Callithrix jacchus: one gene and its partners. The protein of the gene in region 1 interacts with the protein of each later gene in a pairwise test. Links are inferred from orthologs where the notes say so. Each region holds a gene or a part of one and is shown in the gene's direction. Other genes may lie near its edges.

Region 1 (6,867 bases):
AAAAGAAACAGTCACTAGAGTGGATCGGCAACCAACAGAATGGGAAAAAATTTTTGCAGTCTACCCATCTGACAAAGGGCTGATATCCAGAATTTACAAAGAACTCAAACAGATTTACAGGAAAAAAACAAACAAGCCCATTCAAAAGTGGGCAAAGGATATGAACAGATACTTTACGAAAGAAGACATATATGAGGCCAACAATCATATGAAAAAATGCTCATCGTCACTGGTCATCAGAGAGATGCAAATCAAAACCACATTGAGATACCATCTCACGCCAGTTAGAATGGCGATCATTAAAAAATCTGGAGACAACAGATGCTGGAGAGGATGTGGAGAAAAAGGAACACTTTTACACTGTTGGTGGGAGTGTAAATTAGTTCAACCATTGTGGAAGACGGTGTGGCGATTCCTCAAGGCCTTAGAAATAGAAATTCCATTTGACCCAGCAATCCCATTACTGGGTATATATCCAAAAGACTATAAATCGTTCTACTATAAGGACACATGTACACGAATGTTCATTGCAGCACTGTTTACAATAGCAAAGACCTGGAATCAACCCAAATGCCCATTGATAATAGACTGGATTGGAAAAATGTGGCACATATACACCATGGAATATTATACAGCAATCAGGAATGATGAGTTTGTGTCGTTTGTAGGGACATGGATGAATCTGGAGAACATCATCCTCAGCAAACTGACACAAGAACAGAAAATGAAACACCGCATATTCTCACTCATAGGTGGGTGATGAAAAAAGAGAACACATGGACACCGAAAGGGGAGTACTAAACACTGGGGTCTATTGGGGGGAAAAGGGGAGGGCCAGTGGGAGGGGGAGGTGGGGAGGGATAGCCTGGGGAGAAATGCCAAATGTGGGTGAAGGGGAGAAGAAAAGCAAAGCACACTGCCATGTGTGTACCTTCGCAACTGTCTTGCATGCTCTGCTCATGTACCCCAAAACCTAAAATCCAATAAAAAATTAAAAAAAAAATCAGTCCAGTGTGAAAATGGGAAAACAATTATATGCCATTCATTAAGGTAGCTAAGTTGGAAAACACCAGCATGGAGTTTTTGCTGATTTGCTGGTGCCTGATGATGAGAGGGACCCCAACTGGATTGTGAAGATTGTCTTTGGGCACACACAACATTGATAAACTGCCTTCACTTAGTTTTCACAGCTTTAACAGCTGCCTTAGTTCAGCTGTAAGTAGCAAGTAAATAAGTTTCATTTATTACCATGCATGTAAAATGGAAAAGCTCATTGTCAATTATAACTGCTAGATACTGTCTATCATTTGTTCAGTTCATTCATCGCTAGGCATAAAGTTTATATAAGCATTCACTTATACTCAGTCTTTCATTGAAGAAATGTTTACTGAATGTGCCAGTATGAATTCTGTAAACATTTATTGAATGAAAAATTCAGGATATGCTGTATAGAGATGTATATCATGTACAGTGAACAGTGGACAAGGTTGAAAAAGGTCCTGAGTGTGACAGATGCGGCAGACAATAAACAAACTCACCAGCAGATATGCCAGTCATGGATAGCTGCAAGTGATGGGGCAGGCACATGCAGGGTGATGGGAGAAAATATGTGCACACCCAGGGAAGAGTGGTGGGGAGAGGGGATGCAGTGGCGGGGCGGATCCTGGGTATAAGATGATCCCAGACCTGGGAAAGTCTTTCTAAAACTGTAATAACTGAAATGAGACCTAAAAGAATAAAGGAGGGAGACTTTCCATGTGAAGGTGGTTTCACATAGTCAGTGGTGGTTGTTGGACTCAGAACTGAGGTGATTTTGCTTTGATTGATATCATTTATGTACAATGATGATATTCTGAGTTGACCAAGGAGCCAACCAGTTAGAAAAGACCCTGGCTGGCCCCATTGGAGAGCCTTAGAGCACCCTGTTAGGTGAATAGTAAGCCCTGAATTCTTGGGTTGATGGGAGACCACAGGGGAGGACCTGGGGCAGCTGGGTGGCACTTGGAGTGCTTGGGACATAGCTATTTCTTTATTATAGTACAGAAATATTTCCATGCTTACACAGGCAATGTGGCATGTGTAACAGCTTGTGTGTAATTCTGTGATCCAAGGAATTTTTATTAACCAATTGTAGTTACAGACCACTTTTATTTTCTGCCACTTCACATAGTTTACTGGAAAAAAGCAAGGGTTGAATTCTGGTTTTCAGTGTTGGCTGTCATAAGATTTTACGGTCTGAATCACATATGGTGGAGTACTCTTATCGAACTGGATGTATTCCTCCCAAGAAGGTAACCAAGCTAACTCTGTGTCTTTTGCAGGCGGCATCACTGTCCACATCTCCCTACCAAGATTTACGATCAAACAGAGAAACCATGTCTTCTCTCCGAATATACCGAGAACTACCCTCTCTATCACACTTACTTGCCCAGAGAGTCCTTCAAGCCAAGGCGGGAGTACCAGAAAGGGTCTGTACCAATGGAAGGCCTGACTACATCAAGGTGAGGGCAAACAGTATTAATATATGCAGGTACATCCAACACTAATGTAGGAACGTGCAGTGCTTAATGTATAATATTAATGTAATAATGTACAGTGCTAATGCATTAATGTACAGTATCAACATATGGTATTAATGCCTTAATGTAGTATATAGCTGAAAGAAAATCCTGCATTTATGAGCCTTCTCAATTTTTCCCAAATCCTCTGTTAAAGAGAAAGGATTCTTGGGGGAAGGCTGGATTGATATAATAAAGGATTGGAGGTTAAGAAAAATATTTATGGGATGGAAAGAGTGGAGGGGGGATGTTGCCGAAAAGCAAGTTTTGGGCTTTGTTACATGAAAAGCTCCAGACCAGGTTGGGTAGGTTGGGGGTAGGGGGGTGAAAGAGAACTTGACAATAGAGAAAAAGTGAGGTTTTTTTTTTTCTTAAAATTATGCTGCACATTTTGAATTGGGGTTCTCCTGAATATTCTTCAAGAAATAATTTTTTTTCCTTTTAAATTATTCTTGACTCCCAAACTCAGAATGTTTAGCTCTAGGTCTGTGCAGTGGCTGAGCCACATGGCTCAGTACATTAGTATTGCAGAGGTCTTTGCACTGAGGTGGTGCAGAAAAATTCTCAGTTCAGGGTTGTTCTATAGGCAAGGCTCTCAGAGAATCTGCCATGGGCAGCTTAGTTAGTGACCTGTGACTGGTGATCTAGTAGATCAGAAACATCTTTGAGTGTGATTGAGCAGTCTCAGATTGTATAGTTTTGTCCTCAGCTGAGACCTGAAAGACTGATGTGTTCTCAGCCCTGAAGGGCAGGGTTGCCATGAGGTGGAGATGATGGTGAATGTTAAGTGTTCCAGCACAAAGCTTGCACATTGGTGCCCAAGACCTGGTGACTTTTCTTCCTATTGCTGCCCTTTTGCCTGATAATTTTGTGCTAATAAAGGCCCCAGATGGTGTAGGAGAAGCAGAACCATTCTAACTCATTCTGCCTTCAGGTTTTCTCCAGAATAGGACTGGAAACATCTGTTGAGATTGTGAGTTGGAGGTTCTCTGTACACAACACTGCTATCTTCTAGATCCATGAGCAGTCCATGTCTGGGTGTTGGGGCAGGAGCAACCACAATGGGAGAAACAAAGCCAAAGGATTCCTGAGCTTCATGGGAACCACTGTGCTGGGGCTTGAGAATGAGAGGGAGTTGAGGGCCTTGTCTCATGCTTGATTTGTATCAGGCCACTTTGTTGTTGTTGTTTTTTTCAAAAAACCAAGGTCTCCCTCTATAGCCATGGCTAGAGTGCAATGATGTGATCATAGCTCACTGACGGCAGCCTCGAATTTCTGGGCTCAAGTGATCCTCCCGCCTCAGTTTCCTAGTAACTGGGATTATAGGCATGGGCCATCATGTCCAACTACTTTTTAAACTTTTTGTAGAAACAAGAATTTGCTATATTGCCAAGGCCAGATGATTACGTTTATTCTAAGCATTTATCTTAAATGATTTGGTTTAAGCACAGTGTTTCTGGGTCCTGATGTATTAACAAATTATAATTTACACAGCTGTTTTTTTCAACCTATGACTTATTAAAGAATATAAACCCTAAAGTTTGGGCTTCTTTTTGCCAGGAAAACAGTATTCTTTGTCTCTGAGAGTCTAAAGACCATAATGAGAAGCGTGAACCATTTCTGAGCATTGGTTTTCTTTTATGAAACCCTGGTCAACACCAAGTAAGAGTCATAAGCACATGTACAAGAGACATGTAACTGGTAGGAAAGGACAAGAGTAGCACTGAAATGTGGCTTGCAAATATCATGTTCAGTCTCCAGGTGTGGGTCTTTTTATCTTTCAATTTCCAGTTTGCAGGAAATGAACACTTTGTGAAATGTCTAGTTGGCTTCAGGCATTGGTATATTTCCTATCCTGAAAGTACAGACAAGGATGCTTTAAAAGTTTGTTGTTGTAGGTTGTTTTGTTAGTTGCCCACAAGCTTAGGAGAATGAGGACAAACCCTTAGTCCTGTGGCTGAAGTCTCGCCCCAACACCTAGCTCGGAGGCCCCCAGATGCAGCTCCTTGCCCTGCGTCCTCCTGATGGTGCTTTGCAAAACAAAAACTTACCCTGTGACCTGTCCTAAATTATCCTTGCCTTGTGTTACTTACAACAATAAACATATCACCCAGAAGGGCCCTCTGCCCCTGCCAGAGCTGGAGTAACGATATATATCATGTACATCAAGTGTGGCTAAAGCAGAGGAAAGCAGATTCTGAAAGAATTTCCAAAATAAGCCATTAATGAACATAAGGGCCTTAAAAAGAAAAAAGTGGTGGGATCAAGGTTATCCATGGGGAGAAAAAAGAGCAGATATGAAATTCTTTTTATTTCCTACCCTAAAAAGAGAAGTAAGGAGGAAATGAGCAGAAGACATCTATGTTCTCCTTTCTACCACAATTTCATTAATTCTCAATCCTGTGCCTGCCATGCTGGGCACTATTTTTCATAGACCGAGAACAAAATTATGCCACTCTCAGGAAATATAGGGAAGCTAGTATCTGGGTGTTCCCCTGGAGGCTTACAGGGGAAGGGATGTGTCAGCCCAGTCTCTCCACACCCCTGTATCTGCACGGATTGTCACCCTTCTACTCTTAAGACTCATTACTGGAACATCCTGCTCACTTCTTCATCTAAACATTGACTCTGCTTAGTTTCTGAGGTTGGATATAGGGCTCCCACCTGCTGAATGAAAAAGTCATGTGGTCCAGGGCTTGGCTGGGTTTGGTGATTAAGCCCAGACACAAAAAAACACCTGGTTTCTGGAAAGGTTATCATCTCAGCGTGAGGCATGATTACAGCTGCACACAACTCTTACTGGCCATAAATCTTGGGGATTTACAGCAGGTGCCATGAGGGGAATGCTTGTGATTTCCAACCATTCTTAGTGTGAAATGGTTTCTTGCAATCCTTGATAATTCTCTGGTATAGAATCTGCCTTTAGTTCAGATAGACCTGAGATCAATTTATGAATAAGAGGTTTGCACTTCAAGCCTCATTTCCCCATAGGCATGTTACCATGTGAAACACTTGGACCCCAATTTGAGACATTCTGTTAGCTAAGCCAGCTCCTAAAGATGGGCAAAATGAAAAGCATTAGAAGAAAGAGGTGAGTCTTCAGTGCTGTTAGATCTTTATCCTAAAGGGAGAGGGACCATGGGTGGAGTGGAATGGCGGCACAGAGTGAGGAGACAGAATTGAGTTCGGATTTGATGGGTGTGGCTGAAAGGCAGAGGGCAGGGAATTGGCAGCATCAACTCTGTCACTTAGTGACAAGACTCCTTGGTAAACCAAAGAGAGTAAGGGAGGGAAGAGCTGAGAGAGAAAAGGCATTTGGTATCCTTTCCAAAGGTCAGGAAAGAAGCAAGGAAGTTGGTAGCAGGCTTGTCTCTTGTGCTGCCTATTGAATTTTATATATTTTTTGTTCAAATACATACTTGAGTCTCCTACTCAGAGCTGTACCACTGGGGTATACTTAGCCTCCATAGCCTGGGCTTGAGAATCAGTGTGAACACAGGGCAGATAGAGTTCTCAGCACTGGACTTGCTTAGGTAATCTCAGAGCCTTTGAATTGTCTATAATGTATTTCTGATTAAATTTGCAGACATTTTGGTCATTATTTCTTCCAGTAATTTTTCTTTCCCTGATGCTCTGTTCATTCCCCCCGCCACTGCCCAATCTTTTCTTCCCCTTCTCTGTTCTTCAGATTGGATAGTTTCTGTTAATCTAGTTTTCACTTCACCAAGTTTTTCTCCCTTATCTCCATTTGGTGATTAAGCCCAGCCAGTGAATGTTCTGTTTCACATATTTTGCAGTTTTATAATTTGCATTTGATTCTTTTTAATACAGTTTCTACTTCTCTTACCTGATTTCCTGTCTTTTATTTTATTATGACCTTACGTTGCTTTCCTTGTTGAGCATGGTTTAAAAAGCTGTAAAATTTTTGTCTGCTAATTGCAAATGTCTGGTCTGCCTGGAGTTGGTCTCCATAAGTGTCTTTGCATTCCCCTGAAGAGTGTTTTTATCTTTGGCAGGCAGGTTATTTGATTGTTGAAAATGCACACTCTGTGTCTTGGGTGGCAGCTCCAATCTCATTTGAGTTCTTTAGCTTGAAATCTACCCCATACATGTGAGGTCATGCAGAGATTTGGGCCCAGTTTATGTATTGAGGCTTCCTGTCTTTTGCTCTCTCATTTTCAGGTTTCTTTCTTCATTTTCCAGCATCTGTGGTTGCCTCAAACTTAGTCCTCTGGTTTTATAGTCAAGAAAAGATAATCAAGAAAGATTCATCTTTTAGCTGCCCTACCTGACACAGACTGGAGCTGAC
Region 2 (7,518 bases), on another chromosome or scaffold:
ACAGGTATGATCCCAGCCTGTATTACAGCCACTGTGCCCTGCTGATTTGATTTTTCGTTAAATAAAGATGGGGCGGGGGTCTCACTTTGTTGCCAGAGCTGGTCCTAAACTATTGGGCTCAAGCAGTCCTCCTGCCTCAGCCTCCCAAAGTGCCGGGATTACAGGCAAGAGCTACCATGCCCAGCCAACAATCTGGATTTGAATCCTAACTTTGCCCTTATTACCTGTGTCGCCCTTGCCAGGTTACTTAATCTCTCTATGCCTCCATTTTCTCATCTTTAAAATGGGGATAAAAAATATATATTTAGACCAGGCGTGGTGCCGCATGCCTGTAATCCCAGCACTTTGTGGGGCTAAGGCAAGTGAATCACTTGAGCCCAGGAGTTCAAGACCAGCCTGGGCAACATAATAAGACTCCTGCTTCTACAAAAAATAAAAATTAAAATAAATTAGCTGGGTGTGGTGGCCCATGCCTGTCTATAATCCCAGCTACTTGGGAGACTGAGGTCGGAGGATCAGTTAAGCCCAGGAGGTTAAGATTACAGTGAGCTGTAATTGCACCACTGCACTTCAACCTGGGTGACAGAGCAACACACTGTATCAAAACAAACAAACAAAAAATATATATACATATATTTAATAAAGTTCTTGAATAATAAGGTATGTTAATATATGTAAAATGTTTAGGACTGGTGCAAAAAAAGAATTCAGGAAGTACTGGCTCTTGTTATGACTAGTTAGGAGGGATTAGAGCCATGCATCAAGAACAGAGATTCCAATATTCTGCCTTTCATCGGGCCCTTCTGCACCCACTCATAAACTCCCGCTTTCTGAAGGGGCCCCACCTTTGCCCTCCCATCAGCCCAGAGCTGACCTCCTCTTGGTACCCACTCTACCAAGACTGAGTACTCTTCACTGCTTTGCCCTGGGCTGGGAGTTTCTTACACCTGCCAGATAAATCCCAGAGAGGCCAGGTGCAGTGGCTCACACCTGTGGCCCCAGCACTTTGGGAGGTTGAGGCAGGCAGATAATGAGGTCAGGAGTTCAAGACCAGCCTAGCCAATATGGTAAAACCCCGTCTCTGCTAAGAATATAAAAAAATTAGCCCGGCGTGGTGGCATGCACCTTTAGTCCCAGCTACTTGGGAGGCTGAGGCAGAAAAATTGCTTGAACCTGGAAGGTGGAGGTTGTAGTGAGCCAAGATCACGCCACTGCCCTCCAGCCTGGGCAGCAGAGCGAGACTCTGTCTCAAAAAAAAAAAAAAAAAAAAAAAAAAAATCCCAGAGAAAGGCCCCATCCATGGGCTGGATGCTCACTGCCTGGACTCTAGAAAGCAGATGCCTGTGATCCCAACTGAGGATGTTAGAGGGACACCCATACTGAAGCAGTGTCTGTCATCCATTCAGTCATCAGATGTTTATGATGTACCGGACCCTGGGTTAAGCACTGAGAAGGCAGTGGTGAACAAAAAAAGAGTCCTGCCTTCATGGCTCTTACCATTTAGGCAACAACAGCAATCATAAACAAGCAATGATTTAATTTTGAAAGGAAACCAGGCCTGGAAGGTGACTTGGGACCCAGGAACCCAGGCATGACACAGAAATGGGAGGGAAGGGTTCTCAGGAGCCCCAGCCTGGGAGGGTGTTAGTTCCTCCTTGAGAGCTCAGCTGCACCCAGTCTGGGGTGTGGGGAGGTCTCTGTGCACCTGAATCTTCACTCTAGATGCTAAGGTTATTCCGGGGTTGGTTTGCTGTCTCTTGTTTCCCCAAACAACACAGTAGAGCCTCCTGCCTCCCTCCCTCCCCACCCTTCCAGACCAAGGCTATTTATTCCTAGTGACAAGCCTGAGGATGGGGGGTGGGTAGCCTCAAGGACCTAGAGGGGCCTCGTGTCCCTAGCAGGCGCCAGTCCTTCCTCACAGACACAGGGAGGAAGGAAGCCAGCGGTTCAGACACTACAGAGGTCCCCTCCGCTCTCCTCCACCACCCCTGTGGCGCCCCATCTTCTCACACTCCTCACACCTCTCCCTAGAAGCCAAAGATCATGGGGCCAAGGATTAGGGTCTCCCCGGAGCTTCAAAGGTCAAAACTATTCCTGGGCACTGCGGAAACCCAGGCAAAGCAGGACTTCTCAGTGTCAGGAGGCTGCTGGAGATGGGGAGGTGGTTACCCTGTTTTTGTCACTCAAAGTTGTGGAATAAAACCCTTTGAAGGTCAAGGCCCTATGGTGGGGAAGGGTCCTCTCTTTGCCCCATGTTTTCAGAGAACACCTTGGTACCCGCTGACAGCCTCAAGACAGCAGAGTCAAAACCTCCTCCTCCAGCCTGGATTAAGGCCGGGCTGAGTGTCACCCCTAGGGCTAAGGTTGGGGTTGCGGGGAGATCCGAGGGGGCCAGAAGTCTTTTCCCCAATGGACTGTGGTCTGCGGGGTCTGGTGCCGCCGGCCTGAGATGGAATACAGCAGTCTCCCTCTGGCAGCTGGGGATGGGGGTGGGAGGGGAGGACAGCAGCGGCTGCGGGGAGAGGACAGGGGCTGGTTCCCGGCTGCCCGAAGGTTGGGAGAGCCAGGTTAGGCCGGGAGGGAGGAGGGGGCCGGGCCGGCAAGCGGCCGAAAGGGAGGTGGGGGCGGGGTCTGGCCCCCGCGGCGGGCTGGGGGGCCGGGGGCGGGGTCCGGGCGGGGCAGGCCGGCGCGGACTTCCTCGGGGAGGGGTTGGGGCCGCTCTCCCACTCGCCCACACGGTCCGCCTGCAGTCGGCAGCCTCGCCGGCAGCTCGCTCGGCCCCCGCTCGGCCCGGCCCGCAGGTAGGAGCCGCCGAGGAACGCGGCGCCCGGTTCCCGGCCCCGCCCGCGCCCCGCGCGCCCCGCTCCCGCCGCCCGCCGCCCGCCGCCCGCTTCGAGGTGAGCGCCACGCCGACCCCGGCTCCCAGCCCCGGCCGTCCTCCCCCTCGCCCGGGCCGGGGAGCGAGCGGACCCACGGAGGGCTGAGGCCAGCCGCGGCCCCGGCCCCCTGTCCCCGCTGGGCTCTGGCGGCGGGCGCCCGGGACACGCCGAGCCCGGGAGACCGCCTGCCCGGACTGGACCCCTCCGGGCTGCCCGGCGGGACAGGGGCGGGGGCGGCAGCGAGAGTTGGGCGGGGGAGGGGGGCTAAGTTTGAAATAGAAAAGCCAGAGAGAGACAGACCGAGCAGGAGCGCTGGAGAAACTGAGGTTCTCGGAAAGCCTGGTGGAGCGAGAGACCGAGACAGGCAGGGACTCGAGGCACAGGAGGCTATCGAGATCATTGAAACAAGGACACACTGGGCGTACGGAGTTACCGGTGGACAGACCAGAGGCATGGGGGCCGACCCAGGCTTTGTGGAGCATTTTCAGAAAAAGCTTACGTAGAACCCCAGCGAACACATTGCTAGGGCCCTTCTCTGGGCCTTGGAGGTGCCCTGCGGCGTGGGTGTCAGTGGCATCATGCTGAGTCTGCTCTCTGAGGCCTGCAGAGACACCAAGAGACTAAAGACAGAGACATTCAGGTATGCAGAGATGGCGAAAGAGACCTGGATGCAGAGACAGAGAAAGGGAGGTAGTAGGCATTGAGATATTCAGCCGTGTAGACAAGAAGAGACCAAGACTTGAGATCCACAGAGGCATGGGCCCATGGGGGGACAGCCAGTCAAGATACAGGGCCGTCCAAAACCTAAAGACAGCAGCTGAAGTGTGCCCAGACTGACATGCTCAGTGGAGCAGAGACAGAGACTTAATGGAGGCAGAGAGACCTAGGTGGGCTGACAGCTTCCAAGACAGCCCCTGACATACCCAGGCCTGAACCATTGGGGACACAGAAACTCTGAGCCCACTGATCCCTCAGGAGGCAGAGGCCCGGAGACAGTAAGTTCTAGATCAAGAAGAGCCCCGTGCGTACACACACAGCCACCAGGACAGCCCTAACTTATTTTTAAACTCAAATCTTGGACGGGCTGCCTCAGCCCTGGGGGACTGGGGTGAATGAACTGTTCCTCTCCTGTCCTCAGAGCAGCTTCGGGATCCTGCTCCCCAACCCCCTTCCCTAAACTTCTCTGACTTTCAGGCCCCATGGGGGAGAGCAGAGCTTGGGGCTGGTGCCTGCTTGCAGAGGGTGAGGGTTGGGGGAGTTGAATTTCTCCCTTCAAGTCTCCTGTCAGCTTCTAGAAGGTGGGGGAGGGGTCTGTTCTGATCCTGACTCACAGCTGTGGGACCTGGCCAGGGTCCTCCTGGACAGTGGGTGTGTTGGGGGTGGGGGACAGAAGGGTTGAATGGTTGGCATGGGTCATTGGAAAGGCTTCTGGGTGCCTTCCAATCACAGGGCTAGCAGCTAGGGAGAAGAGCCAGGCTCTGCTGCATCTCCTGTCACCCTGCCCTTAAAAGCTGACCATCTCCTTCATCACCAGGGCAGCATTTTTAGGGAGACAGCAGAGCTCTGGGCTGGGAGGCAGGGGATCTGGGTCCTGATACCTGAGTGATCTTGGGCATGACCCTGCTCTGTTCCTCAATTGTAAAATGGGGATACATTTTACACAAAAAGCAGGAAGGAATAACACAAAAGGCAGGAAGGAATGATACTCCGTCCTTCCTGCCTTTTGTGAGATCTGATGAGATGGGATAGGCATGAACTTTTCGAGTGGCAAAGCAGCATGCAGGTGTCTAACACCCGTGGACCTGTGTGAGAGATCTCAGATTCATGCTTACTAGAGTCAGGCTGATGACCAGGCTGGAGTGACCAGGACACTGGCCCCACTGGTGTCTTCTGCAAGTCCCATGGGCCTGGGGCCTCCTGTTCTCTTCCTGAGCCTACACTGAGAATGTCCAGGTCAAATTTCAGAACAGGCTGGGCACAATGGCTCATGCCTGTAACCCTAGCACTTTGCGAGGCTGAAGCTGGAGGATCATTTGAGGCCAGGAGTTAAAAGACCAGCCTGGGCAACACAGTGAGACACCCATCTCTACAAAAAATAGAAAAACCTAGCTGAGCATGATGGCACATGGCTGTAGTCCCAACTTCTCAGGAGGCTGAGGCAGGTGGTTTGCTTGAACCCAGAAGTTACTTTTTTGTTTTTTGAGACAGAATTTTGCTCTTTTCGACCAGGCTGGAGTGCAATGACACAATCTTGCCTCACTGCAACTTAGGCCTCCAGGGTTCAAGCATTTCTCCTGCCTCAGCCTCCGGAATAGCTGTGATTACAGGTGCCCACCACCATGCCCTGTTAATTTTTGTCTTTTTAGTAGAGATGGGATTTTACCATGTTGACCAGCTGGTCTTGAACTCCTGACTTCAGGTGATCCAACCACTTTGGCCTCCCAAAGTGCTGGGATTACAGGCATGAGCCACCTCACCTGGCCGAGCTCAGAAGTTTGAGGCTTCCATGAGCCATGATTGTGCCACTGCACTCCAGCCCTGGCAACAGAGTGAGACTCCAACTCAAAAAAAAAAAAAGGCTGAGCCAGGCTGGCCAGTATCACAAAACTCTGTCTCTACTAAAAATACAAAAATTAGCTTAGCATGGTGGTGTGCTCCTGTAATCCTAGCTATTCCGGAGGCTGAGGCAGGAGAATCTCTTGAACCCTGGAGACGGAGATTGCAGTGAGCCAAGATCGCATTACTGCACTCCAGCCTGGGTGACAGAGTGAGACCCTGTCTCAAAAAAAAAAAAAAAATCTGGGCTGGTCATGGTGACTCACGCCTGTAATCCTAGCACTTTCGCCAGAGGAAGCCAGGGCAAGAGGATAGCTTGAGCCCAGAAGTTTGAGACCAGCCTGGGCAACATATTGAGACCCCATCTCTATTTAAAAATTCCAGTCCTAGCCAGGTGCGGTGGCTCACACCTGTAATCCCAGCACTTTGGAAGGCCAAGGTGAGCAGACCACAAGGTCAAGAGATTGAGACTACCCTGGCTAATGCGGCTAAAAATCCCGTCTCTACTAAAAATGCAAAAATTAGCTGCATCTGGTGGTGCACGCCTGTAGTCCCAGCTACTTGGGAAGCTGAGGCAGGAGAATCTCTTGAACCCGGGAGGCGGAGGTGCAGTGAGCCGAGATCGCACCACTGCACTCCAGCCTGGGCAACAGAGCAAGGCTCTGTCTCAAAACAAAAAAAAAATTCCAGTTCGGCTCCTTGATCCAGACCTACTTGTAAACCTGCTATCTGGCCGCAGTATGAGAGAGGACGCTAACAGTAAAAATACTGATAGCTACCATTTTCTGAGTATTTATTATCTGCCAGGTGCTTTACAATTATCATCACATTTAAGCCTGACAACAACCTTAGGAGGTAGGAAGTAGTAGCATCTCATGTAATTAGATGGGAAAACAAGCTTAGGGAGCTTAAGTGACTTGCCCAAGGTCACCCAGTTAGTAGGTGTAGGAGCTGGGATTCAAATCTTGCAGCTCGAGCCCCTCCACACACTACAGCCAGTTACACAGTCATTCTGAACTCCAGAAGGTTCCCTGGGAGGTGCCTTGTTGGGGGAGATTGTTGGGGGTGCAGGGGTTGAGAGCCATTTGTAGAGGAGCAGTCTCCCCCAAGCCCTGCCTCACTGCCAGCCAGGAAGGAACACAAGGCTGGCTCCCTTCAGTCCCCTCAGTCCCCAGCCTTGCCAGAGAAAAGGGTGGGGAGAGGGGTATGGGCAGAGACAGGTGGGCCTTGATGGTGCCCTTCACTCTGTCCTCATCAGAGCCCAGCTGGATAGACTAGGGCATTGGGGGATTCTGGGAAAGAAACAGAAGCCATGCCCATACCCTATTTGGGTTGCCCTGGTCTCGGAGTCTCGGGGGGTGGACCCAGGGCTAGCCTGGGCCTGAGACGGTGGCAGCCGGCAGCCGAAGTGGGCCAAGCCAAGAAGGAAGGAAGAGGCCCAGGCACCCCCTGTAGATGCATTCCACCTGCGTGGCCCCCTGCTGCCCTGTGGCTGACAGCCCGGGCAATCCTCAGATGTTGGGCCAGAGGAAACCTGGGTCCGAGTGGCAGGAAGGGAACTGAGAAAGAGGTACTCCTATGCCATAGCCCCACCCCAGGAGTCCCAGCTCTAAAGACCCTGGCTCCTGGTGGCCTCATGCCCTGGCCTGGGGTGGGAGCTTACTGTTGTCCCATTGCACAGAGGCTTGATGTATGGAGAGTCAGGCCTCCAAGCTAGGGGCATCTGCTGGTGCCTGGAGTCTGAACTTCAAGCCAGAGCAGCGCTTGTCAAGAATGTTGAGCTGGGGGTGGATGAGAAAAGGAGGACTTTTCCTTCAGCTTGAGCCAGGGCAGGCTCTGGTGACTGCCAGTCACTGGGGCCTTGTGGGAGAGTGGGTTGGTGAATTCCTTTGTATGTCCCTGTAACTTCCCCGGGCTCATCCACAGCTGTGAGAACATCCCCTTCTTCATACCCCAGGATCCCAGCCCTTAGAGAGCAGGCTTCATGATGGAGGAGAGCAGGAGTGGAAGCTCTGACTTGTGGGCTAGAGACTGGAATCGGGGTGGTAGAAAGGTCTGGGAACCCCACTTCCCTACCGCTCCA
Region 3 (7,367 bases), about 60 Mb from region 1:
GCACCAGGACCTCGGACAGACTCCTTCCTGCCACTGCATTTCTCACTGCCCCGCATGGCACATGGTTCCTCATCACGTGTTTTCTACCCCCCTCACTTGAGAATGACCTTTTATTGTGTTCTTTGGTGTGGGGCAGTTTCAGCAGCAGGAGGGGTGAAAGCCCAGCTGGGGTGGGCCACAGGAGACTTGGGTGGTAGGCAGAATGCCACACAAAGATGTCACGCCCTCATGCCTGCAACCTGTGATATTATGTTACACAGCAAAAAGGGCTTCGCAGGTGTAAGTAGGTTGCCAATTAGTGACCTTAAAATAGGGAGATTATCCTGTTCACCTGGGTGGACCCGGTCTAATCACAGGAATCTTTAAAGGCATAAAGTTTTCTCCAGCTGAAGGTGGGAGAAATGGGACAGACCAGAAGGCTAGCTCTGGCCGCACGCAGTGGCTCACGCCTGTCATCCCAGCAGTTTGGCAGGCCAACACGGGCAGATCACCTGAGATCAGGAGTTCAAGACCAGCCTGGCCAACATGGTGAAACCGTGTCTACTAAAAATAGAAAAATTAGCTGGGCGTGGTGATGTGCACCTGTAGTTGCAGCCACTTGGGAAGCTGAAGCAGGAGAATCACTTGAACTCGGGAGGCGGAGGTTGGAGTTAGCCAAGATCATGCCACTGCACTCCAGCCTGGGTGACAGAGTCAGTCTCCCTCTAAAAAAACAAAAAAGAAAGTCTTGCTGGTTTTGAAGTTTGAAGATGTGAGCAACCTCTGGAGGCTGAGAACAACCCTGAGCCAGCAGCCAGTAAGGGGAGACCTCACACAACCACGTGGAAGTAATTGTCAACAATCTGAAGGAGCCTGTGGGCGGGTCTCCCTCCGCCCCTGCTCAGAGCGGAGGCAGCGGACCTCCCGATTTCAGCCCGGAGACCTACCGCAGAGAAGCCAGTCAAATCCACCTGCACTTCTAATGCAGAACTGTGAGAGTGTGTGCTCTTTTGTACCACTGCATTTGTGGTAGTTATGAAGCCATACAAAACGAACTGAGACAGCAAGTATAGACAACCTGTCACAACTTTTGCTGGGACAGGAAGCAGGAAAATGAGGCAGTGGCTGGAAAGGGACGTGGGGCCAAGGGCTTCGGTTTAAGGTGCATGGCCACAGGAGCGGGATGCCGTAGTGATAGGAAGCGCCACCCCAGTGTTTCATAATTCCACCCTCGCAGGACACAGAGGCAGGGTGCCACATTCATACTTCAGTACAATATGTCGATAAAGCAGCCTGCTTGTGGGGGGCCAGGTACGAGTTCCCAAGCCAGCTGGGCACTGCCCACAGCACTGCGCTGTGTCAAGACCTGCATGTCTTTCTCAGCTTCGAAGCCAAGAAGTCACCTTGTCCGCAGCAGCCTCCAAGCAATGACTGCAAGGTGAGGGGTGAATGCTGGGTTCCCCTGCAGCAAGGTGAGGGGATGAATGCCTTGGCTCCCCTGGCCCTCGGGGAGGGACTCTGAGGATGGTTCCTACACGACCTCCTGCCACAGTCACTGGACTGGTAGCAGCCCCTTACTGCCTCACACCCCCAGTCTCTTGCTAGTGTCTTCTCTCAAGCTAACAATTTGGACTTTCTTGGTTCACTGCGAACTTGTCTCCCAGGTTCAAGCGATTCTCCTGGGATGTCTCCCCGGAGTAGCTGGGATTACAGGCATGCGCCACCACGGCAGCTACTTTTTTATTTATTCATTTTTTTTGAGACAGAGCCTCTCTCTGTCACCCAGGCTGAAGTGCCGTGGCTCGATCTTGGCTCACAGCAACCTCTGCCTCCCGGGTTCAAGTGATTCTCCTGCTTCAGCCTCCCAAGTAGCTGAGATTACAGGCGCACTCCACCACACCTGGCTAATTTTTGTATTTTTAGTAGAGATGGGGTTTTTCCATGTTGGTCAGGCTGGTCTCAAACTCCCGACTTCTGAGATTATAGGTATGAACTACTGGGCTTGGGGACACCAGTGCTTTTCAACTACCCTAGGGAGGACTCATCAAGCTCGTCTGTGTGGCCCCACGTCTTTTCACAAAGCAGTTGCTCATAACCTCATCACACCCTGGGAACTCTATAAAGTAGGACAGGTATGTTTTGAGCTAGGCTTCGCCTGAACCCGGATGTGTGTCTCAGGCAGCCCCTTCTCTTCTCTAGGGTGCCTGGGGGTACTGGCAAGTACCAGGGGACCTAGAGGTGGAACGTCTGGGCTGATTCATGAAAACCTTTTGCAGGCTGGGCATGGTGGCTCACGCCTGTAATACCAGCACTTTGGGAGGCCGAGGCCGGAGGATCAGCTGAGGTCGGGAGTTCAAGACCAGCCTGACCAACACTGCAAAACCCTGTCTCTACTAAAAATACAAAAATTAGCCAGACGTGGTGGTGCATGCCTGGAATCCCAGCTACTTGAGAAGCTGAAGCAGGAGAATCTCTTGAACTCGGGAGGCAGAGGTTGCATTGAGCGGAGATTGTGCCACTGCCCTCCAGCCTGGGTGACAGAGCAAGATTCTGTTTCAAAAGAAAAAAAAAAAAAGTCGGGGGGTTAGAAGACAGAAGCCAGCAAGCCAGAAAGAGGCCTGTGCAGCTCCTCAGGTGCCGGAGTCGCCCCTGAAGCAGGGTGAGGGCTGCCGGCGGCGACTGGACACCGCGGAGCAGGACGCAGCATCCGGCCCCGTTCGCTCCAGGCTGCAGGGCAGGCCACGCTGCCCACCACTGCGCTCCCGGCCTCCCTGAGCGGGTCTCGGCTTTCCCCGGAGCCTAACGGGCCTCACTGGAGTCTGGGACCACCACGGCCTCTGGAGTTCCGTTTCCTGACGCCTTAGACCAGGCTGCTCCGGCGGCCAGCCGCCCTCCGGGTCGCGTGGGCCAGGGGTCCGCGGTATCTCCAGGCACTCCCGCGTCCCGAGGCAGCAGCCTCTTCCTGGCCCGCCTCGCCCGCTCCCCTCCCGCTCAGCGGGCCCCGCACGCGCTCCGTCCGCCTCCTCCTTCCGCAGTCGGGGCCAGGACGGTGGCGGGAAACAGCATACGGGGGCGACGGCGAGGGAGGCGAAGGGCGGCCGGCTCGCAGAGCTCCACGGGCCCGGCGCGAGTCCCGGGCCGCGGCGCGCATGGCCCCTCCGGGCGCGGCGCCGCCACCCGCACAAAGCTTCCCGCGAAACTGACGTCGGCGCGCGCAGGCACCGCCCCCGGCCTCGCCCCTCCCCCGCGCTCGCCTCGCTCCTCAGCGCGCCGGCGCCCTCTCCCTCCTCCCATTGGTTGTTACAGAGCGGCGCGCGCCGACCGGCGCCGTGCGCGCCTCCCGATTGGTAGAGCGGCGGCGGGCCGGGGGGTGTGTCCCGGGCCGCGCCCCGCCCCTCCGCTCCGCTCGCGGTGGTGCGCGCGGTGGCGGCGGCGGTAGCGGCGACGGCGCGTGGCAGGTCCGGCGGGCGCGAGGCGGCGGCGGCGGCGGCGGCGGCGGCCCGAGCCCGGCCCAGCCTCGTCCCGCCCGGGGCCCGCCTGGCTGCGACCCCGACCCCGGCTGCGGTCCTGTCCTGCCCCGGCGCGCCGCGGCCTCGCCCGGCCCCCGCCCGGCGCCTCCCGAGGGAGCGGCGCTGCCGGCCAAGAGCGCAGGCCCGGCCATGACCGACTTCAAATTGGGCATCGTGCGGCTCGGCCGGGTGGCCGGAAAGGTGAGCGGCGCGGAGTGCGCGGCCCGGCCCGGCCCATCTTGCCCGTCCTGGCCTCCGCGCGGAGCCGGGGGCGGTTGTGCGGGCGGCGGCCGGGGCGGGGGCGCGGAGCCCGGGATGAGCCCCGGCGGGGTGGGGGGCGCTGCGCGGGCCCGACTGCCGGCCCCGCGCGGGTGCAGCTTCCTCCCGCAAGGCCGGTGGGCACGCACCTCGGCTCCGGGGCGCACCTGGCCGCCCTCGGCCCTGCCCTGCCGCAGGTGGAAGCCACGGCCCTGTCTCGAGCCAGGTGCGGAGATGCCTGACTTGAGCCCGGCCGGTGTTCATCCGGAGCCCTCCCCGTGGTGCCGGCGAGCCGGGGCCTAGTGCGGTGTCCGGGCTGCTGGAGCGGCCACACGGTTTAAACACAGCGCCCTTTCGAGGCAGCGCCACCTCCACACCTCTCGCCGAGGCGGGTCTGGTGTGGGCTCTTCCGTGCCTCCCAGTTCGCAGCAGGGCTTCGGGCTCGTTTTAACGCTGCCAGGCCTTGGCCAAGGTAGGCTGAGCCTCAGGCTTAGAGCAGAGAGGCAGGAGCCTGGGTCCTGATGCTGCAGACTCAGGGCCTTCCCCTACTTCTCCGTACCGGTCCTCACGTTTCACGATTGGGGCCGGGGCTTCCATGCCACCTGTAGGCACTGAGGCTTGGCGGTTTCTGGAGCCACCTGTGCAGCTGCACCAGCCAGGTTCTTGCCTGGATAGGAGCCCTGTTCCCATCACCAGTGGCTGCAGCTTTTCTGGTGGGAGAGAGGAGTGGAGGCAGTGGCAGGCGGCGTCAGGTCAAACAGGTTCAGATCCCAGAAAAAAAAAAAACGTCGAGAGAGAGACTGGTCGGTTCCTGGAGCTGTTTCTGTTTCCTGCCCCTGCTCCAAGAGCATAGGTAGGGCCTACTGTGGAGGAGGCTTTCCCACCGGGGAAGGGTGGGCTCCCCAGTCAGGTCGAAGACCCGAGACCCCTTCCAACTCTGCCACTGATGGCATTGTTATCCCTTATAGCTTTTCTTTGGAACATTTTGGGTGGACAGAAAGCTAAAAAGGGGAATTCAGTGAGTACTTCAGCTTAATAAACACACCCTAATCAAAACCTGGCTTTTCTGCCTCCGTCCAGGCCCCTCCCTCAGCCCAGTGAGTTCGCCTCTGCCTAAGTGTATCGGTGCGTTAAATGTTGGGTGCCACTGTTGGGTTAGGCCTGCGAGGATGGGGCCTGATACCGGCTCCTCTGGCACAGACTAAAGTGGGCAGCTGGCTTGTCACCGGTCTGCCTGCGTTTTTGCACAGGCTGCACGACCCCAAACTGCAGAATGAGACCCCCACGTGCTGAGCTGCCTTCCTCTGAAGAGGCCTGTGGTTACTTCCTACTTCACAAGAAAATGCAGCAGGCTCCTGCCTGTTATGGGTTATAAGGCTGCTGCACTTCAGGATCCCAAATGTAATGGTTTGAAACGTGGTTACTTTCCAGACCAAATACACGCTGATCGATGAGCAGGACATCCCGCTGGTGGAGAGCTACTCCTTTGAGGTGAGTGAGGATGGCTGTTCCCTCCCCTGATGCTTGTGGTCAGTGCTCAGGAGAGTCATGAGGAGCTCTGTCCCCTGTGCTGCAAGAGCAGGCGGCCCCACAAGTGGATATCTGGTGCCAACCTGTGAGCCCTGAGCCCTCAGCTGCCACATCCAGCGGTGGGCCTGCAGACCCTGGCTGTCGCTGCCACCAGAGCCCTTGCAGCCTGATGACACGGCCTTCCCTCACTTTCACCCTGTCTGCCAGCCCTTCTTGAAAGCAAATAGTGTGTTCTCACGTTTGTAATCCTGTCACGTGGGCCGTGTCTGTTAGCTTGGATGACCCTGCTCCTTACAGCTGGCCACCTATGCTTGGCCTGCCCTAGCAGCCCCTCCAGGTTGCCCAGCTGCCTCCCGTTCTCTGCTCTCATGGGGTCTTCCTGCCTCTTCCCAGCTTCCGTTCCTGCCACTGAGCTCGGCCTCCCTCACCACGCTTTATCTCTGCGCCCCACACATTCGCAGTCGTGACTTGTCAAGGGGTATCTCCATCTTACTGCACTGTGGGCTTTTTTTAAGGGTAGGAAAATGTATTGAATAGAAGCATGGTGGGGGGACACACTGGGCCTGGGGCCATGTGCCTGTGGGAAGCGCCACACTCCCCAGGGTCTCAGGGACAGGGCTGGCATTTGTCCCTCAGGCTTGCCTGTTTCACGTGGGTTTTCTAAGAGGGATTTGAGGTGTTGCTGAGAATTGGAGCCTTTTTAATAGCTCTTTTCCTTGTTCCTTCTCAGGCCCGAATGGAAGTAGATGCTGACGGAAATGGCGCTAAGATATTTGCCTATGCCTTTGACAAGAACCGAGGAAGGGGCTCTGGGAGACTCCTTCATGAGCTGCTGTGGTGGGTGTTTCAAAGCTGCCTCTGCCCCCTGCCACAGGGCTCCTGGGTGAGCTCTGATGGCACAGGGTGCCTGGAGCCCCCTGCCCCGCCGAGGCCCTGCCTTGCCTTCCCTGAATTTCGCATTTATTTTTGTGTCCTTTGTCACTAACCTAGAGGAACGAATGATTTGTATATTGCACTTCAGACACCAAGTGGACTTTCTGCTGGGCGCTTGCCCAGGACCGGTGGCTTCTGGAGGGAGAGTGGGGTTGCTCCCCTTGCTGGGTCTTCACTGAGCCCCCCAGTGTGCATGGTAGGGGCCACTCAGATGGGAGCTGTCTTGAGTCCGTCTGCTCAGGTGGTTTTGGGTTCCAGCCTTAACTCTGCTCCTAAGTCCAGGGGCCAGGTCCTCTCTGTGTCCCTGTCCTGTTTGGGCCACAGACCAGGTGCTTGGATTCCTCTTGGCAGTTTCTGTCTGAAGCACCCTCATCTGTAGGAGCAGGGCCTGATCAGATCACATGGCCGATACTTCTTCCTGAAAGGACTTTGATGCCTGATCAGAAATACCCGTGAGGGTGGGAGGCGGCAATGCAGGGCACTGTCTGTTTCTAGGGAGCGGCACCGGGGGGGCGTGGCCCCGGGCTTCCAGGTGGTGCACCTCAACGCAGTGACTGTGGACAATCGCCTGGACAACCTGCAGCTGGTGCCGTGGGGCTGGCGGCCCAAGGCTGAAGAGACCTCCAGCAAACAGAGGTGGGTCTTCTCAGGGCCTGGTGAGGCCAGCAGAGGGGCCTTTTGAGGAAGGCCACCTTTAAAGCGCTCATTTCTAAGAGGGTCTCATGTTCTTCTTCTGAGCCCTGATGCTTCTGTGTGTTTGGGACTTTCACTGTTTTTCCCCAAAGCGTGGAATGCTCCTTTTCTTCATGGGAGTGGGAAGGACCTTGATAGTGTGTTTCTGCGTGGGTCTTCTGATAACTGGCCTGGGAACCCCCCGTTAGCCGATGTGATGAAGTGGGGAAGAGGGCTGCCTGCTCCAGGGCAGGGCTAGCACCGGTATTCGGTGGGAGCAGGGCTCCCAAACCCCTGGAAGGCATTAGCCTTCTTTCCTCCCCTCAGGATTTCTTCTGTGCACAGAGATAGCTCGGTCTCTTTGTTGTGTTCTTTTGCTAAACAGTTTTCCTTAAGCAGATGTTTAAAGCGGAGGATACGTGGTTCCCACCTGCCTGTGGTCCTGAGAGCAGTGCTTTGCATGGGCTTCCCACATGGGAGGGCAGT
Region 4 (7,556 bases), on another chromosome or scaffold:
TACTGTTCTTTCTCTGTTTCAGAAAATGATGATACTTCAGCCCAAAGTTTCAACTCCCTCTTGGATCTACTCTAGAGACGCTCAGCTCTCTGTGTAACTCCCATGGATATAGAAGGTATCCACACTATTCAATATTCAGCTTGTTGGTTTTTCTCCTGTTGATCTGTCTTGTGTTCCAGGGCATCCCAGCTAAGAACTCATGAAAGGTTCACTGTTTTTCCTCTCCTTCATTTTGGGGGGCTGTTCCTAGAGATCAAAGATGAGCCCTGCAAACTGGGAACCCTCTCAAAAAGTCCTTTGTTATTTGGGCATCCCAATTTCTAGTCCTCCAGCCAAGCTTCCTTGACGGGAGGTCCTCCCTTAGGACTCTCAGTGCCATATCTTCCTGATGTTATTGTCTCTTGAGATACTCTGCCCTACTCCAGAGGCTGATCTAACACTGGAAGTCCCTGCTCCTTCCCGGACACCTACAGGACTCACTGCATGGGTCAGCTGGCTAGTCTGTGTGGGCAGTCAGCACTTACTCCAGAGGGACTTTGGACGGTCCAAGCAGAGCTTTGGCACGGCAAATTCAAACTAATAGTCCAGAGGATGGGGCTCAGCCTGCACACTCTGCCCCGGGCTATGTCTGTCTAGAGTCTCCCCTGGCAATAAGACCCAACACAAAAGCACTGAAGCTACCTCATGCTGTGTCTTAGGCCAGGTCCTATTCATGGGTAGGTAACCCCATGCTGATCTCCGTAGACAGAAGAGGAAATTAAAGGATTTCAGGCCTTCTGTGCCCCAGGAGCCAGGTTGGGAGAGGAATCCTCACTTCCATCAGACATATCACTGAAAATGAGTTCTAGGAAAAGAAGAATTCCTCTGTATCACACAGTCAGATGGGGAGGTCATTACTTAAGTTAAAAACAATTTTTAAAAAACAAAGTAATCATTAAAACACGCACTTCCTTTAAATAAAAGGTCCACTAAATGCCTTTCTAATGTCCTGTTCGGAGCATAACTTGAGCCATGTTAGGTCAGATAAAAGTGACCCAGCGTGATAAGAATATGTATTATGATTACATATATTACATAAAGTTTATTTTTCTTTTCCTTCTGTTTTTTTTAGTGCTCTTTTCTTTTCTTTCTCTTTCTCTTGTCTTGCCTTTGTTGTGACAGGGGCACTTAGAGGATTCGACAGGCCCAGCTGCATCAGATCACTGAAGGTGGCATGAAAAAAAGCTTCGGGCCTTACATAGGTTTCCCAAAGACTGAGGAAACCCCAAGGACTACTGTAATCTTCAAATAAACTCAGATTAATTCATGCAGAAACATAGAAAGTTGTCTTCTGATTCTCAGAACTAAGATTTTAGATGAAGTTAATTTTCTTATAAAAGGAAGACAACATTATTGTAAATAATTTAGAGATTGCATATAAGACAAAGGAGAAATAAATCAGCCATATGCATTCCTCCAGCCATCACCACCTTCCATATTTGTGGCATATCCTTTCAGGATGTTCGTGTGTGGGGACGGGGGAGAAGGGTGCTTACCTGTGTGTAATAGCTTCATATTATACATACACCCTTTTTCCCTCAAGGACAATCGCCATTGCCGTCCAGGCTGGAGTGCAGTACCGCGATCTTGGCTCACTGCAACCTCTGCCTCCTGGGGTTAAACAATTCTGCTGTCTCAGCTTCCCAAGTAGCTGGGATTACAGTCACCTGCCACCATGCCCAGCTAATTTTTTTTGTATTTTTTGTAGGAACAGGGTTTCACCGTGTTGGCCAGGCTGGTCCCAAATTCCTGACCGTAGGTGACCCACCCGCCTCAGTCTCCCAAAGTGTTGGGATTACAGGCTTGAGCCATGACTTGCTTTTTATTATCAACATATTATATGTTTTTTTCCTATATCATTAAATATTCTCCTTTGACATTTCTAAAGATTGCAGCATGTTTTGCTTTGTTTTTACTTTACTTTTAGAGACAGGATCTTGCTCTGTTGCCCAGACTGGAGTGCGCTGATGCAATCATAACTTGCTGTAGCTTCGAACTCCCGGGCTCGAGTGATCCTCCTGACTCGGCCTCTGAAAATGCTGAGATTATAGGCATAAAGCACTGCGACTTGTCTGTTTTGATTCTTCATACACTATTTCTCTTTTTTTTTTTGAGACAGAGTTTTGCTCTTGTTACCCAGGCTGGAGTGCAATGGCGCAATCTTGGCTCACTGCAACCTCTGCCTCCTGGGTTCAAGCAATTCTCCTGCCTCAGCCTCCCGAACAGCTGGGATTACAGGCATGCGCCACCATGCCCAGCTAATTTTTGTATTTTCCATAGAGACGGGGTTTTACCATGTTGACCAGGATGGTCTCGATGTCTTGACATCGGCCTTGGCTTCCCAAAGTGCTGGGATTACAGGTGTGATCCACCTCGCCCAGCCCATATACTATTTCTCATTTATTCAGTCCCCTCTTCTGAGCTATTTACGTTGTTTCCAACTTTTCCTAATTTTGAGAAAAAAAAAAAAAAGAGCTTCAAGAAATGTCCTCTGCCCATATACACTATTCTTTCCTCAGGATAAATCTGCAGGCCTAGAATTGTTTTGGTAATGCAGACAGCTCTCACCAAATAATCCTCGGAAGAAGTTGGCCCTCGCCATGGGCGAGTGCCTTTTCAGCATACTCGTAAGTAAGAAATTTCAAAAGAATCAGGAGCTGTTGATATCCCAAATTAGTTTTCTTTCCTCTCCCAGCATATGGCTTTTAAAAGGCTCTGGGAATTTCACTGTTTTAATTTCATAGAGAAAACAATGTGTGGCTCGAGAAACCCTTATAATCATGCATGAGCAGGGAGGAAGGGAGGGAGAGAAATTTCTGCAAATGTATTTCACCCATGGCTTCCCAAATGCCTGCCATTTATTGAGCCTATTGTTCGGGCTTCCCTAACATCCTCTCACCCAAGCAAATGAACTCATAAGCCAAAGAGAAGGTCAGTGAGCTCTTTCCGGAAGGCAGCACTAGGAATCCACATTTCCCAGCTCACAGAGGGGCTGTGGGGCCTGGGGGAAGTGTCCCTCCACTCCTGGGCCTCCATGCCAGGCACCTAATCTGAGGGGTGGACAGAAGTGCAGCTGGGCAGCCTGTTGGAGGTTCTACCTCTTGTTTGCCAAAGTAAGGTCCCTTTCTGGCACTGGTGGCCTTTCCACTTCAGCTACCCTTTGGGTTGCTGGAAAATGTGAGGTCTGAGGTGACCTTGAGGCAGGCAGGACAAATGAGGACATGGCAGCCCTTTCCCTTCTGGGAGCCGAGGCTCCTTTAATGTGGAGGCCTTAAAAGGCATGTAGGAATCAGGGACTGGGTTCTTATCTCCTGAGCCTGGCCAATGTCCAGATGCACCTTATTTATAGCACCACTGACAAGGGCAGCACAGCTGGCTGGCAGCTGCAGAGAAGGTTGGGGCCATCTAACCAGGCCATCTGCCTGCACGGCTGCTGTCCCTGCTCATCGGGCTGGAGGACAGAAGACAGAACCCTGACACTGCAGGTAAGGACCACTGGTTCCCCATGCCCTTCTCTTACCCTTGCCATCCTTCCCAGCCTAACTCTGCAGCAGGCTTGGACAGCAGTTGTGTAGGCATCTTGCTCCATGCACAGGGAGCGTCCCAGGCCTGGGAGGAAGCTCTCAGGCACTGGGAGCTCACTGACCCCAGCAGAAATGCAGGTGGTGCTGGCTGCTGGCTCCTACCAATGGCAAAGCCCAGGAACGGAAGCCACCCTGCCCAAAGATACAGGGTCCTTGGCTTGAAGATAGAGAACCCTGCTCATTGGGAATGAGGAGAGGTTTAAATGAAATTGAGCCCCTGCCTCCACTCAGTGGGAATCCATTTTGAACACCAGAAAACATTTTTTAAGGGGAAAGCAAAAGAAGAAATATTATAAACATTGGAAACGGGGAAAACCACAGTGCACTTGAACTTTTTCTCCCTGACAGAATTTCCGGAAAGCCTGGGCTGAAATGGCAAATTACTGATGAGTCTGATTACTCTGGGAAAGTGTGTTTATACAACATGACTCTTAGTGGCTGATGGTTTGAAAGTCCAGAGAGCTGTTGCATGCTTTAAAAAGGAAATGCATGAATATTTTACAATTTCCAGAGCAGGGCAAACTCTAGGATGTACAGTCCTGAGTAACGCCCTGGCCAATTGTGTAATAATCTCAATACTGATAGGGTGACATATATATGATAATAGACATCATCTATATAAATATCTTCTAGCCAGACTCCATGCAAGACACTTTATCAAGTCTAATCTAAAAAGAAAAGAAAAAGTTGTCAGTCCAGTTTTTGTTTCTAAATTATTCTGAAGTCCGAAGAGTGTTAATAAATACCTGCATTACAGGTTAACGCTGTTGTAGCTCATATTTGCTGTATGTAAGTTTATTTTCATTGTTTTATTTGTTTCTTGAAGAATATTATTTGAATTTTATTTTATTGCTAGGCTTTTACAATTTTATTGATACATGAATAGAATTTACATATGTATGGGGTACATGTGAGTAGTTCAGTACATACACAGAATGTGTAATGATCAAATCAGGGTTTTGGGGTATCCAGGATGGGCTGGAATAAGGTTTATTATATGTTGAGATCATTCTGACCCAAGTTTTTATATTTAATTGAGTAGCTGACTAATCGACTCAAATGATTACATTTTGGAGGCTTTTTCTTATATTAAAAATATTTTAAAATATAACTTCCATGAAAAGTTGCATATTTTCCAACACAGGGTTCCCAGACTGCTCACCCATCACCTGTCTTTTAGAACATTTCTTACTTTTAAGTCTCATTGTTCTATTTAGAGCTTCCAGAGTTCTCCATTGATTTCAGATCCCCGAGGCTAGGCCAAGCCATGCCTCTCACTGCATTCCCATGACCTGAAGCACAGGGATGGACACACTTTCCACTGATCTCTAAAATATTTCATATTTACAATACATGGCCCAGAGACTGATTTTAATTCATTCTCTCTCCACCAAAGAATGAGTTAAAATTATATTGAGTGCTTACATTTTCTTTTTTTACTCTACAAATAATCTACGTTTACTATAAAAAATACAGACCAGCAACAAGAAGAAAATGGAAAATTATATATACTCTTATTACTCAAAAGATAACTATTCTTGCAATTTATTGTTGATTTTAATTATTTATTGATTCTAAGGTATCTTTGACTGAAAGACGTAAACCATTCACTTCATAGATTTTTTTTTTAATCCCACTATGAGATATTTTAAGGTGAATCCAAAAACATTAAGTTATTTGGGAAACTGTAAATTATAATTAACAGAAACATATATACATCAATCAAATTACTTGGTAATCTGCTTTCTGTCCAATTTATGGTCAATGCCTCTTACAGCTGTTTCAAAATCTAATTCCTTGAAAATTGGTTATCTCTATATATCGTTATGACCCATTTTGGTTAGTCAATATATTAAAATATTCATAATAGTTGGATGGATGAAGAGTCAAAGGGCATAAAGATTTAGATAAGATATTTTGTTAGAATATAGCGATATAACATCAGTTCAAAGTATGATCTGGTAATTGATTTCTACACTAGTACTGGTCCCTTTCGAATCATGAAAAATTCAACCATCTTGTGCCTTGATCTACATGCCCCCCCATGCCTTACAAATCTGGTTTACTGATTTTTTTTTATTCCATTGATTTATCAGCACCTCCTCACTTAGTCTCTAATACACTAAAATATGGATGAAAAACAGAAAAGAACCAACATAAGTGCTGAGTAATTTAATGTGTTACAATTTGGGATTTTATTTGAATTTAATGGATACATTTTAGATAGGGAAAAGAGGAATAAAAATTCATTTTAACACAGGACTTTTGTTGCGGTTAAAGAGCAATGCTGAAAAATTAAGCTGAACTAAAACCATCTGAAGCCAACAATTCATAAAACATACTTGATGTGTTTTATTAAGGGGGAGCATACAATTAGGTATTAAGAGGAAAGTGCAAGAATTTCATTCTGCTCTTTTATTATTATTTTATGACTTTTTTTTTTTTCCGAGACAGAGTCTTGCTCTGTCACCCAGACTGGAGTGCAGTGGCACAATCTCAGCTCACTGCAACCTCTGCCTCCCGGGTTTAAGTGATTCTCCTGCCTCAGCCTCCCAAGTAGCTGGAACTACAGGCATGTACCACCACACCCTGCTAATTTTCATAGTTTTAGCAGAGACAGTGTTTTGCCATGTTGGCCAGGCTGATCACGAACTCCTGACTCCAGGTGGTCCGCCTGCCTCTGCCTGCCAAAGTGCTGTTATTCTGGTCTTTAAAGAATAAGCATGTCTAGATGGTATCTGAAGCGTCTGTGGCAACCATCTATTTTCATATTAAGTAAAAGCCATCATAGTGCTTTTTCCCTGGGCTTGGTTCTGTGCAGCTAAATCTAAACTAATTTCAAAATATTAGCCCATGGTTTCATATGAACACAAAATAGAAAATGACATTATTTGAATATTCTACTTCAAGTCGTATCCTTTATAAGAAGATGAAATGGTTAAGATGAAGACACAATGGGTTACATAAAAACATTGTGTGTGTGTGTGTGTGTGTGTGTGTGTGTGTGTATATATGTAATATGTAATAACTAAAACCAATAAACAGTGCAATGGCTCAAAAGTGGAGTATGGTTAAATAAAATATAATATAGCCATAGTATGGAATATAGGCAACCATCAAAAATAAAGTTTACATAGAACTTTCAATTTTTAAAGCTCTCAATACAAAGCAATATTCATAATATATGAACTGAAAAAATACACCAAAATATATAAAATAATCATTTCTGAAGGATATGATTAGTAGTAATTTTATATTTTTCTCTACATATTAAATAGTTTACTAAATGTTCTACACTAAAACTGATTATAAAAGTTTTAGTAATGCAAAATTCTATGCAAACGTAAAACACTCTAATTATTACCACCAATTATAAAAATTGTAAATAACCAACCAGAATGATTTAGCCTATTAAGAATAATGGCTAGTTTGGGAGGCTGAAGGGAGACAATTGCTTGAGCCCAGGAGTTAGAAAACAGCCTGGGCAAGAAAACAAGACCCCAACTAAAAAAAAAGAGTTAAAATTTATTGAATGACCATTATATCCAGGAACTATGTTTTAGCTCATTTAACACAACAGCCCTATAGGCAAGTGTTACTATTAATTTTATCGTTACTCCTATTTTTGGAGAAGGAAACTGAAGCTTAGAACTGTGCTATTCATTGCTGAGGGTGCAACCAAGTTAAAGATAATGTCTTTTTGTCGTTATTGGGATTTTTTGTTTGTTTGTTTGTTTTGAGATGGAATCTCACTCTGTTGCCCAGACTGGAGTGCAGTGGTGCAATCCGGCTCATGGCAACCTCCATCTTCCAGGTTCAAGCAATTCTTGTGCCTCAGCCTCCCGAGTAGCTGGGATTACAGGCACTTACCACCACACCCAGCTAATTTTTGTATTTTTAGTAGAGATGGGGTTTCACCATGTGGGCCAGGCT

Evidence for each region.
Region 2: the proteins of SAXO1 (region 1) and FHL3 interact in binary tests that used the Homo sapiens proteins (3 or more experiments, as listed by UniProt). The two-hybrid records come from large-scale screens. The link is inferred for Callithrix jacchus from reciprocal best matches to the Homo sapiens genes SAXO1 and FHL3.
Region 3: the proteins of SAXO1 (region 1) and ZMYND19 interact in binary tests that used the Homo sapiens proteins (3 or more experiments, as listed by UniProt). The two-hybrid records come from large-scale screens. The link is inferred for Callithrix jacchus from reciprocal best matches to the Homo sapiens genes SAXO1 and ZMYND19.
Region 4: the proteins of SAXO1 (region 1) and FHL2 interact in binary tests that used the Homo sapiens proteins (3 or more experiments, as listed by UniProt). The two-hybrid records come from large-scale screens. The link is inferred for Callithrix jacchus from reciprocal best matches to the Homo sapiens genes SAXO1 and FHL2.

What each region holds. Positions count from the first base shown.
Region 1 is NC_133502.1:125,549,641-125,556,507, reverse strand, and holds part of SAXO1 (stabilizer of axonemal microtubules 1), read left to right. Parts: intron 1-2,321; coding exon 2,322-2,501; intron 2,502-6,867. UniProt on the Homo sapiens protein: May play a role in the regulation of cilium length. Stabilizes microtubules at low temperature.
Region 2 is NC_133508.1:74,578,634-74,586,151, reverse strand, and holds the start of FHL3 (four and a half LIM domains protein 3), read left to right. Parts: upstream 1-2,493; 5' UTR 2,494-2,567; intron 2,568-2,725; exon of another isoform or gene 2,726-2,897; intron 2,898-6,788; exon of another isoform or gene 6,789-7,005; intron 7,006-7,518. UniProt on the Homo sapiens protein: Recruited by SOX15 to FOXK1 promoters where it acts as a transcriptional coactivator of FOXK1.
Region 3 is NC_133502.1:185,937,906-185,945,272, reverse strand, and holds the start of ZMYND19 (zinc finger MYND domain-containing protein 19), read left to right. Parts: upstream 1-3,378; 5' UTR 3,379-3,638; coding exon 3,639-3,689; intron 3,690-3,855; exon of another isoform or gene 3,856-4,218; intron 4,219-5,177; coding exon 5,178-5,237; intron 5,238-5,669; coding exon 5,670-5,792; intron 5,793-6,006; coding exon 6,007-6,113; intron 6,114-6,704; coding exon 6,705-6,845; intron 6,846-7,367. UniProt on the Homo sapiens protein: May be involved as a regulatory molecule in GPR24/MCH-R1 signaling.
Region 4 is NC_133515.1:15,510,848-15,518,403, reverse strand, and holds the start of FHL2 (four and a half LIM domains protein 2), read left to right. Parts: upstream 1-3,409; 5' UTR 3,410-3,524; intron 3,525-7,556. UniProt on the Homo sapiens protein: May function as a molecular transmitter linking various signaling pathways to transcriptional regulation. Negatively regulates the transcriptional repressor E4F1 and may function in cell growth.